Struthio camelus: one gene and its partner. The protein of the gene in region 2 interacts with the protein of the main gene of each other region in a pairwise test. Links are inferred from orthologs where the notes say so. Each region holds a gene or a part of one and is shown on either strand. Other genes may lie near its edges.

The links. The genes of interacting proteins can lie anywhere in the genome.
Region 1: the proteins of CEP44 (region 2) and AQP1 interact in binary tests that used the Homo sapiens proteins (3 or more experiments, as listed by UniProt). The link is inferred for Struthio camelus from reciprocal best matches to the Homo sapiens genes CEP44 and AQP1.

Annotation. Positions count from the first base shown.
Region 1 is NC_090943.1:5,170,175-5,178,191, forward strand, and holds the start of AQP1 (aquaporin-1), read right to left. Parts: upstream 3,092-8,017; 5' UTR 1,963-3,091; coding exon 1,573-1,962; intron 1-1,572. UniProt on the Homo sapiens protein: Forms a water channel that facilitates the transport of water across cell membranes, playing a crucial role in water homeostasis in various tissues.
Region 2 is NC_090945.1:46,872,968-46,880,375, reverse strand, and holds the start of CEP44 (centrosomal protein of 44 kDa), read right to left. Parts: upstream 3,018-7,408; 5' UTR 2,532-3,017; intron 1,606-2,531; exon of another isoform or gene 1,571-1,605; 5' UTR 1,399-1,570; intron 1-1,398. Other genes in the region: FBXO8 (F-box only protein 8), read left to right, coding at 3,699-3,744. UniProt on the Homo sapiens protein: Centriole-enriched microtubule-binding protein involved in centriole biogenesis. In collaboration with CEP295 and POC1B, is required for the centriole-to-centrosome conversion by ensuring the formation of bona fide centriole wall.

The DNA of each region.
Region 1 (8,017 bases), on a different chromosome or scaffold from region 2:
ATGCACAGCCAGAGCCTTCTGGAGTTAATAAAAAGCTTCTCTCTTCTTCCCCAGAATGTGCTGGATTAACCCTATTAAGATTTCAAAAGTGGTGGCACAAGGAGGTACCTGCAGGCACCAGACTCCGAAGAGGGAGGTAAGCACCTAACCCTCAGAGTAATGCTGAGATGGATGATACACTTTGGCTACTCAGGAATGACCTTTTTAATACCAACTTTTATTACGTTTTAAAAAATCTTCACAGTCTCACTTTTGGAGTTAACTATAACGGCATAGCATGCTAAAACATGTTACCCTATTTGTGCATTTAACTTTTGTTTATTTTTTCTTCCCCTTTTGCCCAAATGATTTATGAAGAGACCTTTGATTTGGAGCTTTAGGTCCCAAATATCCCTACGACTTCAACTGGACATAATATTTCAAATAGGTTCAAGTCCCAGACTGCAGCCAGAAATAGTCTGCAAGAGAGGGGCCACGGAAAAGATGTGATATATTTGTCCTTAACAGCATCAGGTGAGAAAAGTGACTAGAAGGGAATTTCCACTTATAATACTCCTCTTTGGATTGTGACCCAAATATTTGTGGCTGTGGGACTGCCTCTGACAATGGGATGATTTAATGTTTAAAAAGTGTATCTATCCTTTTCACGGCTGCTATGCTAAAATAAGAACAATAAAATGACAGCAATTTTTAGAGGGAACAGTTGCAGCCAAGCACTGAAATATTCAAAGTACTTTTTATGCAATGCGACTGTTAATAGCTGTGAGCAGCAGGCTAGAAGAGGGCTGAAACCTTCATCCCTGTTAAATGTCATTGCCTCACCTCTTTCTGCAGCTTACATCTCAGAATTCAGTGTTTTCCTCATCTTTTGAATAGCAAAAGCAGGAGCACAAGGAAAGCGCAGCTGTCATTGTGTCAGGCAGGAACTGAGCCTAATGCAACAGGTAATGCTCACAGCTTCCTCTTGCTACACATCCCTCTCTGTGTCTTTTTCCATAGGTTCTTACATTGCAGTCATCATCAGGCTACAGAAATCATTAATTAGGTATTGAAAAAAGAACCACATTCACACATGGGAAAACAACATCGCTGTATGCACATTCATCAGCATCGCAAGTCGCAGGCATGTTATCTGAGACCTTTAGCACCATCACAGGGATCGACCTCGCAACTGGCAGTGATTTCAATGCTAAATTGGCATCAAAAGGCGACTTTTATCAACGCAGAGATACAAAACTAAACATGAGCAAAACTGGTCGTGACCACAGTGTCCTCTAGCTTTAGAAAGGGGGTGGGGAGAAGGGACCTTCTCTACGACATCTCTTGCAAAGGAAAAGGATTAATAAAGTGCTTAAGCTGACAGCACAGGGTACCTATATCCTAGATTCACCCTGGCGTCAATCAGTCAGGACTGGATCCCCCCCCTAAACTGAGCCATTGGCTGAGTGAAGCTACCATCGCCCTCTACATACGCACACACACACCCACACGCACCCCCTTAGTAGCTTGCTGGTGTTACCCTCACATTTCTACATTAAAAATGAAGGAGGAATCAAAAGTTTCTCTGCTTACCGCGTTGAGCCCCAGGAGGTTGTTTGGGAGAGACGAGGTGACTCCCGAGAGGATCGCGGTGGCCACCACTGCCCCCAGGCACTGAGCGATGATGTACATGAGCGCCTTGAAGATGCTGATCTGGCAGCTCAGCAGAAGGCCCAGGGTCACCGCGGGGTTCAGGTGGGCACCGCTGATGTGGCCCACGCTTTGTGCCATGGTAGCAATGGATAACCCAAAAGCCAGCGAGACCTTCACGTTGTCTTGAGACCTTGTGGACGTTTTGTTGCCCACAACCGGGAAACTAAAACCCAGAGCCGAGCCAATGCTGATAAAAATAAAGAGGCTCATGGCAAAGAACTCAGCCACCACCGCCCTCCAGAACATTTTCTTTTTGAATTCACTAGCCATCTTTCCCTTCCCTCGCTCTCTCTCTCTCTCTCGCACTTTCCCTTCTTCTCCCTCTCTCCCTTCTTCTGCTTGATATTTTCCCTTTGAGGTCTGAAGAGAAATCTGGAGAAAAAATAGAGTTCTTGGATTATTTATAGGGCTTTGGGTGGTCTGTAGGAGGGAAGGGGTGTTGCACAAAAGGAGGAAAGAACATCTACATAGATGCTGACTGCTAGATTGATGTAAGACACTGCATGCCTGCCAAAGTTTTTTCTTCCCCCTTTTTTTTTTTTTCCCCTTCCCTTAACAGCCTTCGATCTCTGCTGCCGTTTTTAAGAGGCTTTTTTAAAATCTTTGGAAAAGTCTTTAGGAGCACCGCAGGAATTTTACCTTCACTCGTTTGACTTCTCTATCGCCATTCAGCCCACAGACTGGGCTGAGAGCTTTTACAGGATTTCTCCCTCGTGCTGGACTAAACAAAAAGAAAAGTTATCTGTGCAGGCTGGTAAGTTGTTCATGCTCAGCTTCACCGGCAGCCGGTGACATCCGAAAGCAATAAATAAAATCAACAACTAAATCGGCGCTCCAGGGACTTAAATGACTCCGTTTCATTTGAAAACAGGTGGGAACCTCTCCTCTGCTGGCTCTGCGCAGACTTGGACGCATTTCTGATGCCAAGCCTGACAGATGTACAAACATATATGTTTACACAGACTCACACAAACAGGTCTTGACCGACTAACGGTTGCGAGTCGTTCTAATCCCTGCGACCACCGCGTAAAGCTGAAATAACTCCACTGCAGGTCAGCTGGGTGCTTCATACGCCGGCGGTTCGGACCCGAAAGAGCTGCCCTCTGCAGCTAGAGGAGGCGTTCGGGTTTGCAGAAGAGCCAGTCTGATCTAGCCCGCGTCTCCGTGCCCGGCTCCTCTCCGCCAGCGCACGGGGTTTGCATTAGCGCTAGGTCGAAGCGCAGGTTCTCTGCACCCTTTTTGCTCTGCCCTTGAGAGGTTTATGCTTAAGCGGAGGGGAAGAAATCGTGCTGAGGGACGTATGAAATGGGCATTTACTTCGTTTCTTCACTTTTTCCGCCTCCCCCCACCCCCTCCCCGTCCCAACCAGAGGCGTCTCAGGGTTTCCCTGGGCTCGCTCTCCTGCCTTCCTTCCGACCGGCAGGAAAAAAGCCAATCTGGGGGCTTCCTAACCCACATCCTGAAGTGAAAGTATAGCCTGCAGACATCCAGCGCTCCTCTCCTGAAGGTCAGCTGTCCCGGCAGTCACCAGGGAGACCGGCTGCTGCCGCCGCCGATGCACGGCACTGGCCGCAGACAGAGACACAGACTGCGGGACAAGGGAAATTACACGCTTGATTTTGCAGACAAAATGAATCTCCCAGCAGTGCCAGAGCGTCTCGAAGAGCAAAAGGTCTAACCTCTTCTGATGTTATCGCAGCAAGGTTTGTATACATGCCTTAGGTTAACCCCTGCGTTATCAGATCTCTGCGCGCTTTCGCAGCTGGCGGTGCCTTCGCCTCAAAGTCAGAGGGTTTGCTCTGACTTCAAGGATGCACCAGATCTGATCCAGGGTCAGAAGCAAATTGCCCAGGCAAAGTCTGGAAAGCAAGATGACTATTTAAAAACAGCTTACTTCTCTCTCTCTCCTCTTCTTTCTTCTTCTTCTTGCTTTAATGCACTGGTGTCAACTTTTAAATTGTAGTTTAATTAATTCAAGGCTTTCTCACCGAGGAAGTATGTCACTATGAAGACAAAGTCAAATACACACCTGGATAGCATTAGACAGTCAAGAAGGGCTTTTAAAATATATTGAGCTTTCAATAATTTGTTCAGATGCAAAGCTGAAGACTGCTTAAGTAAAAATCTAGATGTCTGCAGCCTGTCATGCCCAAACTCTTATGCTTTCTAGTTCTCAGATGTTCTTGATTTTCCAAAATAACCACTTTTATTTCTTTGTGTTTTATAATACACTTACCCAACAGAACTGTACCAATGGGGCAAAAACAGGAAAAATCAAATAAATTAGGATATGTTAGTTATTGTCTTTTACCCTTCTAATTGCAATGGGGCTAGAATGAGGAATCGCATGCTAGACCAATAAGAAATCAAATTCTGCCCAAGACAGTGTGTCCAATTTTAATGTGAGGTACAATCACAGTCAATTAACCAAGTATTTAAATTAAGTATTTTATTCAGTGGAATTTTTATTTATTGCAAATCCATTCTCTGAAACTTGAAGAGCAGAAGTGACCAGCTTCTCCGGTCCCACCCACAGAATGGCCAAGACACAAGGCATATCTCATACCTCAGGGAACTGAGTGAGGGAAAGAAGAGCTCTATGAATAGTTTACAAGAGCAAGTACTTTCCAGGTGTCCCAAATTGGCATCCGTGGGATGGAGCTGCCTTGCCATTCTGCTGTGCCTGCAGGAAATTCCTTCTTTACTCACCTCTTCCTACAATTAGGATTTGGACTACCTAACAACCTCTGTACCGGTACTGATAAGGCAAGAAGGAATCCCTCACATGAGAAAGACAAGGCATGAGTAGAGCAGCAACGCTCTCCGCAGATTTAACCCCCTTGTGATGATTCCAGCCCTTTGACATCACGGTTTGTCCTAGGGAAATGTCTGTTCAGAAATCTCCTCCACAACGCAGTTCAGTATGGTGCTTTTCTCCAAAATGAGCTCCACCCCATTCTTTCTCAGATTAATGACAAATACCCCAGCACTTGGTCAAGTTTTCTACCCATAGACCCAGTCCCCATAAACTGCTGTGAACCAAAAAAGGGCAAAATCCAGTGTCTTGTGCAATGGATGAGCTGGGTTTGTCCAGACAGGTTTTCTAGGCATGGTTCATAGCTTATTGTCAAATCACACTTGAAGATGAGTTTCGGGGTTTTTTTGGAATTATGCAGCTAGAAATGGAGACATGACCGCCAAGCTTACACAAGTATTTAGGATAGGCAGTGAAGGGCAGGCACGTATCTGATGGGAGCTAGAGGGAGAAAGTAGCTTTTGAGCTGTGGGGTTATTCTTTACAGATGATTTAAATCACTATACACTCTTAACATTATTTATTTGCACTAGAGACAGCTGAGAGAAGAATCAACCTCACAGAAGTGGATATTTAATGGCCAGGATCCCAGGACAGACTCATTTTTCCTCTAAAACAAATCAGATTCTGAAGGGCTGCAGCACAATCCTTGCTTAACAATTCAGTCAGAAAACAAATGTACTCATTGGTTAAGTGGCAGGCTTTGTTCTGTGCTCCCACATGTCACATTGCTCACAGTCTCTCTACTATTTGAACAAGAAACAAATGTGACTACAAGTTTGGTCTTGGCTAACATGACTTCTCCGGGAATTTTCCACTTAGGTGAAGGAATAACGTTGAAGGGCAGAGGGAACGTATGTCGGTCCAGAGACCAAATGACCAGAACCAGGGGCACTTTAGCAAACTAAAATTGTTCTCTTCTTGAGAAGAATTGCAGTCATCCTGCAACTCCACCAGCCAAGTATTTTAGTAGGGTCAATCAAATGTTTTAGCATGCAAGTGGGGATTGCTAGGAATATTTTACTCACAGTTCTGGAAACACCAACAACCACTTTCCGCCTATAGATTTTCACCTCTCTGAAGCATTGCTAACTTTCTCACCACTGTGAAGAATCGTAGGTCCATGTTTTCACAGCCCAGCAATTCAGAAAAATGGAAAGAAGTTCGGCACTGTTAGCTGAAATGAAAACATTTTCCCATGTGCTCTATTCAGTGCCATCCATATAGAAAGTTGAAATTTAGAAGCTGGGTTTTCTGTGAGAAATCATGCTCTAGATCTTAATGGTAAATCACCCTTTGATGGTAAGATTTCCGTGGTTTCCACTGGGCCTAATGGAAACATAGTTATGTATTTCTTATATTCATTGAAACGATGCTTCGAGAAGACACTTAGACCCAGATTCTGTTTTAAATTACACTAGTGTTTGTCTAGGATAATGCCACTGATTTGAACAAATTTACATCACTATTATTTCAGTCAGGAGCTACTTCTTGATCTGACTCAGTTCTCTTTCTGGTTAGAAGAAGACCTCCTCCTGATTGTTATCATAACAAAGTACAAGGCAGTGATTGAGTCAATGCACAGACTCTCAGGAATCTTTCTGCAAGAGAGACACCTGAGCATAACTGGTTCACTACAGCATGACTTAGGTGTCCAAGACTGGAGGTGGTTTCACACTGAATTCCTGACTTATGATCCTAAATTCAGGAAAGAAGGAAGATTTCAGACATATTCCTCTCATATTCCTCTCATAGCATTTCCTATCAGCCGACTTGCTCAATACACCGACTGCTGGGAATGCCTTTCTTAGCTGCTCAGCTGACCCTTTTCCCTGTATGCTAAACTCACAGCCTTTAATATCCTCTTAGAGAGCTGGACATCTAAATCCCTTTGTGAGGCTGGATTTAACTCTCAAAATCTCAGCTGAGAGGATCAAAAGTTATCAATTCTGTGAATCACTGTTGTGCTGGGATCAGAGACGGTGTGTCACTCTCTAATGAGCAAGATGCAAAGGCATAGAGTCCACATGTTTAATTTTCATTTGGTATTTCATGATTCAGTAATATTCAGTAAATTTCATGATTCAGTAGGTTCTACAGACCCACTAAATTTTTTCCTGTTCTTAGATAAAAACCTGTACATTCTACCATGGTTATCTGCTTATTCTAATTTTCTTTTGATGGATTTTCTTTCCTTCTTTTTTTTTTTTTTTTAATCACTACATATGGATTTGTAAGCCTCCTTAATACAATGCCTGTTCCCAGTCATCCTTTTTTTTCTTTTCTTCCAGATCATAAGATAGTAAAGAAAAAAAGATCACAAAACAAAGAAACAAAAGCGAGAGAGAAGTTTAGCACAGAATATATGAAGCAACAAGATCTGTGACTGTATAAATGAATGAATGAAATTCAATATCGGCAGAGGTAAACCTGTTTATATCAATGACCAATTTGATCTAGACAAATAAGACGATGATTAGAAAATTATTTCCTCTTGAAGGAGGTTTCTAAGGTGTCCGAAAAGAAAATCATTCAGTAATGTCCTTGGAGAGTTTGCTTCAAATTTCATCTCCAGTTGTTTTCTCCTCTGAGAATAAAAGACTCTATTGTACACCCTGACAAAATATATAATGGAATAGTGAATGTGTTTGTATAGAAGGCTTTTTCATGGTAAGTGCAACAAAGCCACAGAGATGGCATGTATCTCACCTAACTGTAGGAATCTATCACAAAAATGTCTCCAACTAAGCTGCCGTCCTTTGGCTCACTTTTTAGTGAATGCGCAGTGCGGACATTTTCAGGATTTCTGTGATTGCACAGCTTCATTTTAGATATCTACAATTCATTGACACCGTTCCCACAGCTATTTAGGGTGCCCTGGCTGCCTAGCTCCAGAATAAACACTTACTTTCTCTGGGAATCCTAATTCTACGGCCACAAGGGCTGTACCAATCAGGTCCATCAAAGGACTGCTACTCTTTATTTAACACATCTATGATACGAAATAATAAAGATGATTGATTGTCTTCCAACTGGTAGGTAAAAGGCAATTTCCCAGGCAACTTCTAAATCAGCCTGCACCAGGAACAAGGTTTGGTAAAGGGCTGATTGTCTCGTCACCCCAAGTTCTCGGCATCATCTCTTCCAAGGAAATGGTGTTATGAGTCACAAGTGCCCGCAAGTCGTCGTGTGGAAAGGTTAGTTTCTCTGGCAATACTACCACACTAAGGGTTAAATTCTTTTTTTTTTTTTTTTTCCCCCTTAGCAAACATATTTAGCAACAATTGTCCTTTTAAGTTTCCTGTGCCCAGTGCATCACTGGGAAGTTGACCAAGTTTTTTCTTTTTCTTTTCTTTTTTTTTTCCCCTTCACATTATGTTACATAAAATGACAAGTCTGCCAGGAATACTGGGCATGACACATCCCTGACTGTGCCTTGGTAGTTCATTACGAACACAGGAGGTGAATAAACCATTGTTACTTGCGATAGGAAAGTTTTCAGTATGGATC
Region 2 (7,408 bases):
ATAAGAGAGCTAAGAACAGTGGCAACTACGCCTGCTCAGTAGATTTAAAGAGACACCTGAAGCAGTTAACTTGAAATCAAATCAAAGTATCAGTACTAGTTACCTTGAAACCCAACCCCTCACTCCATTGCTTCAAAATAAATATTTAGAGACACTTCGGGAACATTGTTTACTATATCTTGCAAAGATTTGTTTTGAAATTATAAGCAACCATTACTGGTTCTTTTCCAACACAAGACTTTAAAAAGCACAGACTGGATAGCTCAGCTCTTGTAAGTCTTAAGTGAAAACAAGTAGCCTGTATCTTAGCATTCAGTCAGCTGGAACTTGAGAAAGTCCATTAGCAAACTGCCAGGCTCAGTGTTTTTTTTTAAATTGTTTATTAGAGAAAAAGCAAGGCAGATAAAGAAAAGTTAGTTTCAAGAAACTGCAGAGAAATCTGAACATAAGAGGTAAAGAATTATGCAAGCCTAACTACATAATTAGGTTCCAGTCATGACTGGAAGCGCAACTACAAAGTTGTAAGCAACTTCATCAGTATATTCCTAATGTATGGGGAGCACTTGCAAAGTTCTGAACTTTGCAATTCTCAAAGGAAAGCAATAATTTTTAAAAAACATTAGTGTAGTTAATGGCTTTGGAGACAATTTATGGCTATTAAAGGAAATAAACTAGAACTTAAAAGAGTACCCCCAGTTTCTATCTCTTATGTAACTTCTTTCAAAATTAAGCTATTAAAAAATAATAATAATATCATAATGCTGAGTCTGGACAACAGAGTGGGTATGAAAGATGAAGGTTCTTTCCACCTCTACAGAAAAAAAGAATCCAAAACTCAAGAAGAGAAAGTTGATATCTCTCACAAAAAGCAGCGCTTATTCAACATGTTCCTCACTTCTTTACAAATCTGCTAGCAGCTAACTGGCTTAACCCGCTACTGTAGTTCTCCAGAAGCCTCAGAAAGAGTCATGATTTCAGCCATAAAACCTTAGTACAGAAATTTACTGTTCAATTTTCTGCTACAGCCTAGGAGACAATTGCCTTCCACCATCTGCTGAATTCCTTTTCTAGCCAGAAAACAAATGCTTTGAAGTTTACCAGTTCAAGTAGCAAAGACGCACTGCTTCACAACCTATAGTCGAAGATATATTTTCAAGATAAAGAATTTCATGATATAATTTCTCACACTAATGCATGTGATTCAGCCACCACAGATCAAAAGACGAAACACCCCAAGGAGATTATATCTATCTTCGTCAGAAAAGAACTCATATGAGTACTCCAGTTTGCAAGTCACTTATTTGATATTACAGATTTAAAGCGAAGAGTCTTTTAAAAAGAAAGTTCTTGACCATACACTTCTCTCATAATAAAAATGTACTAAAAGCTTGTACTCACAACGTTCCATTTTTTTCCCTTCTCGTGTGCCTGTGGTGTTTACACTAGTAACCTTGAAGAAGCTTAAGATTTCAGGTGTGCTCTTCCCTCGTTAAAGCATTTTCTTCTTCACAGTGCCCGTGATTTTGAGGACTTCTACCGGTAAATTATTAGGTTGCAGGTGTTAGCTGTGCTAAATATAAACACACCACACACTTCATTGAGGACCTAGAGAAAATAGAACCTCAAATATTTGCAAACTGAGGCAGGTATTCTTTCTTCATGGGCTCCCGAAAGTGAGCCAGCCTGTGGCTTTGGCAGTTTAAACTAGTTCCTGAAGAAAAGTCTCAAAGAGCTTAATGTAAAACTGAAGCTCCAATCTACAACGCAAATAACCACAGAAGATGCTCTCATAGCAAAATGGAATCCTTGCAAGGACATAGGTTGCTTCCCAAAACAACTAACAATCATTTCCACACCAAACCTCTGGATATAAAAAGCTGTGATGATAACCTTCATTTCTAGCTTGGCTACAAACCTCTGACTAGCTCAATAGGTCATAAAAATAATAGAGTAGAAGTTGAATAGATTCAAGTGGGTAGAGAATAATTTAATACATTGCAAAGATGAATATTATGTAAAGTAACTTTTGTCTGTAGGAATTTATGACAGAAGAGCCAATATAACATAAGCTGTCCAAAGTAAAGCATCATGTTCTTTTTCCCTACAACTCAGGCATAACAACATCTAAATATGGATATAAATATATATATACAAAATATATTAAAAAATCTGGGGGGGGGGGGGGGGGAAGGAAGGTCAGGCTGTTTTGTGGAGGCCCAAAAGCGTCAAGAAGAAATACTGCCCTTCAGTATCGCGCTAGCTGTAACAGACGCGATTCCAACACAGCGGGCACTCGGCAACGAGCGCACCGCACGAGCGGCTGCGCGGCGGCCCTGCTCGCCACCCTAACCGCGGCGGACGAAGGCCGCCGGGCCGGGCTCCCCCTCCGCCCTTCTTCAACCCCTGGCCCGACCGGAGGCCGCTCTGCCCCGGCGGCTCGCCGCCCCTCGAGGAGACGAAGGACCCCGCGGGAGGGACGAGCCGCCACCGCCGCCGCCCCCCCCAACGGCGCCCCCGGCCCCGACACTCACCTGCGCCAACTGCCAGCCCGGCGCGGGAAGCGGCCCGCCACTAGGGCGCCTGCTCCGGATCGGCAGATTCCGCACTCCCTCCTCGCCGCTGGGGCGGCCTGCGCTGCGGAGGGGAGCCCTCCGGCCCGGGCTCCGGCTCCGGCTCCGGCTCGCCGACCGCGACCGCCTTCCCCTGCTTCGTCCGCGGCACGGGGCCGTCCGACCTAGGGCGCGGATTGAATCTGCCGCCACGAAACCCCGGCGGCTTCCGCTTCCGCGGAGCCTGCCCGAGGAGACGTCACTTCCAGCAACAAGGGCAAACGGCAAACGTCAAACCTGCCAGGCGAGAGGCGGCGGCGGCAGCTGCGGCGGCGGGGCCTGCCCAGCTCCTCTCGCCCCTCCCTGCCGCTCGGGGCTGCGGGAGCCCCGTCCCACCACGCACCGGGAGGCCCACGCACCGACTCGGGCCGGGCTCGTCGCGGCGGCGGTTGGAACCCGAGCTGGCGCAGGTACGGGCGAGCACAGGTTTCCCGCGAGGCGGGGCGGGGCGGGGCGGGGACGGGACGGAGGGGGGCGGATGGACGGGCGGCACAGCCAATCAGGAGGCGAGGTGCTTGGGGCAGCCCTATGGCGTGCGGGGGCGGGACTGACGGCGGCGGCCCGCCCGGTGCCGGCGGCGGTGGGGGCCGCGCGGCCCCTCTGCCGGTAGGAGCGCGCCTGGGAGGGGTGCCGGGGAGGGGGCACCCCGGCGGGGAGCCGGCCTGGGCGAGGTGGCCGGCGGCGGGGGGTGCCCGGGGGCGGGCGGCAGCTCCGGCAGCCTGGAGGGTGAGGAGCCGGGTTTGCCTGGGGAACGGCGAGCGTGGTGGTTCGAAATGAAGATTTTCAGGCTTTGCATGTGAAGGGCTGTTTGCGGGCGTCGCTCGCGGCTGCGGTGAATGAACTTCAGCTTTGGCACTATGGCTGTGAGGGTGATAGTGGTCACAGAGCACCGCCCGTACGGGCCGGTGACCAGAAAGAGGAGGGTTTTCAGGTCAGGACGCTGTGTTGTGTTTTATTTGGTGAAGCAGAACAGGGTAACAACGAAGCGTTGTTTTAACCCGGGTTACGTTTAGGTTTTAGTATCCCATCATGCTCTTCAACACTGTAAAGAGTTTATTATCCGGTAACAAGGTGTAACGTGAAGAAGGCATGATAAAAATTGAAACCAGACGCTGGCATACATCACACACACAAGGTCAGCACGTTATAAATAAGCTTGATGAGTGTTTTCCCTTTGATAATTATTACAGCCAAGCCATTGAAAGCTTTCGGTTATTAGGTAAAGCTGCATAATTGAGAGTTTGGGAATGTACATTTAAGCGGCTTATTGAATCTGAAGGCTGAAGATGGATATGCAGAATACATTTAACAATATAGTTCTAGGTGCGTTTACAGTAACAATGGGTTTAGTCATCTTCTGTTACAAGCGAGTTCTCGGAGCATTCACTGTAGTTTACTGTAAAGCTGAAAATAACTGTTTGATCAAGAAAAATAAATATATGAGCTAAAATGGCATATAAGCTCCTGGATAACTTCATACTTATTAAAGCTTAAAGTTTTCCAACAGTTGGTTCCAGGTTGGTTAAATTGTACCTGCCCTTGTGTCATTTGTGAAAGTTCTTCAGTTGGTACTCGGCATAAAACACGTACGGTATATCTTTTCATCAATTTTCAAGTTAAAAAAAAGAGTTTTAAGATTTATGCTGTGATGTCTTCTGTATCATTGTGGTAGCTATAGGAAGAAGACTTACATCATAACAGTCTAGTTTCTTGAAAGATAGTACTTTTTTCTATCTTGGAGCCACTTTCTAACATTAAATAATTTAGAAGTGATTATGTTGTAGCTGGTGGGTCAAAATCCCAATTTTTTATGCAGGGAGAAAAGCCCTGTGAACATCAGCAAAAACTACTGGTGTTCCATGAACACGAAACTAGCAGCTAAAATGTGGGTATTTATTTGGGGGCTAAGTAGGAAAACTTGATCTCTTGCAACCACTACGAATTCTTTACAAATACTGTATACACAACAGAAAGATAATCTGACTGTGAAAAGGTTTTGAAGCTAGTATAAAATTGCTCATGGTGTAAAGTTCACTTGATAATTTATCAGACACAGTCTTTTGATGACCTATTTCTGCTAATGCTGCTGCTCTTTCACTCCCGTCTTTCTGGGATATTATGATTATGAAACTTACCACAATATGATTCCTACCATTCTTCAGAGCCTTAAACTTCTTGTTACTGCTTTTTTTTTATTTAAAGCATGTCTAAATAATTATTTTCGAAAGACATTTTTTATCAATTTGGAATTAACAAATGTATATAGAAATGTGGATTTGTTATAATGATATAAAGTAATGTCAGAAGAGATAACAAAAATACTAGCAAAATGCATTCCATAATTTGTCCTATCAAAAATTAGCTCCAGAAACAGATTTCAGCATTTAATTGACATTTCATTTTTCTCTACATGACATACATTGTTTATTTGGAATAGGTTTGATCGTTTCCTATTTCGTGAAATTTAAGGTTTGTTATTTCAATGTTGTCATTATTTTCTTTACTGATTTCTGTTGCTGTCTTGATTAATGACTTGGAATAATGATGAGGAACTACAACCCCACACTCCAGATTCTTTCCATCCTTGAAAATTATCTCTTACTGCTTAGTTATTTTATCATTTTGTGTAGTATTGTTTTTGTTTTTACACAAAGAGCTGCACTGAGAAAACATGCAGGATGTATTCGAGTTACATCCACATCATGTGCTTTTGTATGTGGGCATACATGCACATATCTTTTTACACCTAATATTTCCTTTACAGAGTTGAATTGAATAGTCATTGCTATTCAGTCATTCAGATCATCTGATACCTGCTGTAAGTGAACACAGACAGCCTCCAAAATTTGCATCTGCATATTTGCACGTGTAATTACTTGGTGACAGTGTTACTCCCAAGGCTAAGGGCAAGAATTGATTGAAGCCTCGGAAGATATTTAGAGATACTTGTTTACTGTTTAAGTACTGTACTTAGGTAATTAACCAGCGCGTATATTGTGCCTAGCAAAATGGGAGTTCGATCTCAAGTGAATTCTGTAGTTCAGTCATAGTAGCCCTTTTTGAAATGTTGTATTTGTTCAGAAATATTCCCTGTCCGCTTCTCTCATCCCTTAGGAGAGTCTTCTCTCCGTTCCTAATAGCGCTTGGCTGTTAATGCCTACCTATAAAAGCTGTTTCTTAACATAGTTCCTTACAGCACATCACTATATACTCTCTCTGCTCCAAGGTAGCGACAGCAGCAGTAGCGGTAACTGGAGTTGGGAGTGGCAAGAGCTTCGATGGGGTTGTGCTTGTAGTCCCAAATGCCAATTCTGACACACCTCCCACTGATTCTTTTAGTAGTATTGTTACAATTGGTGGTGTTGTTACAAATGACAGTGGTGATACTCCCCTTGGATGAAGGTTAATAGCTTCTTTCTCCTTGTTCTTGTTTAAAAACAAAAAAAGTTGGCACTGAACAACTGCATCTCTGAGAGTGTCTGTTAAGTGCTCTTACTGTACTCTGGCTATAGAGTGAAAGATACAGGCAGAGTCCTTCATCTTGTAAATAAATGGGTTTTCTTTACATCTTGAACTATGTTCCATAAATCAATTGCAAAAATCAGCATAAGTTACTAATGCCCACTCTCAGCAGACCGCTCGTTCTTGTGCTGCCATTTTTAAGTGGCAGGTTGCAGTATGGCTTCCTCTCATGAAGCAAGTTCACCAGTGGTGCTAAGGGCTTTTGAAAAGTTAAATGTTGATCTTGAGAAAATAAAAATAACTTCTTATGATTACATTCTTGCAGCAGATTGTATATCCTATTTATGGTGTGACTCAGTAAGTTTTTTTTAAACACTTGCCTAGTATAACTGTTGATTATGGCTTAACCTGTCTTCAGTCTGCTAAAAAAAAAACCTTAGGCCAAATATATAACTGTACAGAAAGTGAAAGTAAAAGTAATGATGATTTTATTTAAGATTTTACATATCACTAAATTGGTTATTACACATATGATTGCAGTTTCCACATACCTTTGACCTTATCTAGATTAAAAGCTCAGAAAGGAAGGCTCCAACATAGATCTTTGACATCAAGGACTAGATTTTTTTGAATATGTGACTGAAGTAATGAATTCTTCAATTGCAGTGAATAGATTTTATGTGGATAACTGCTTCACCAACCAGCTGAACCTCTGTCTTTCGTCAGTCTCTGTCTTGATTATACTTTTTTCTTTCGTTTCATTTCTCCATTTTTCTCCCATGATCCCTCACCTCATCCATGGTCTGTTTTTTCTGCTTATGTAGAACTATTTCCACCTATTTCTGACCTTTAACAGATTAAGGCCCAATTTTAATTCCGTGTGCTAGCAGAAAATAAATAACTAAAAACGCATGTGAGGCCAGGCCAGGCCTCACCATACTTTTTTTTTTTTTAATTCTTCAGCATTTTTTCTATGAAAGTCAGCATCAGGAACCTGCAGATTCCTAGTGCCATCGTTTATACTAAACTATCTTCACAGCAAAAGCTGAAAAATAAGAGATATATCACTATATATACAGTACTTCCAACAGGATTCAGACAACATTCCCAGACTAAATTAGATTAAGTGTGATTTATACTACTTTCATTTTCCCTCTTAGTACATACAGGATGTTAATGAAATATGAAATGTGTCATTCAGAAATCTTGGCAACTAAATAATTTTCACCATCTGCTTTTATTACCATCTACAACAGAAGTTGACAAAAAATAACAAACAGTTTACTAATTGTGATAATTAAGATATAGAAGCCTTATCATCAAGTTTTTATGCTATC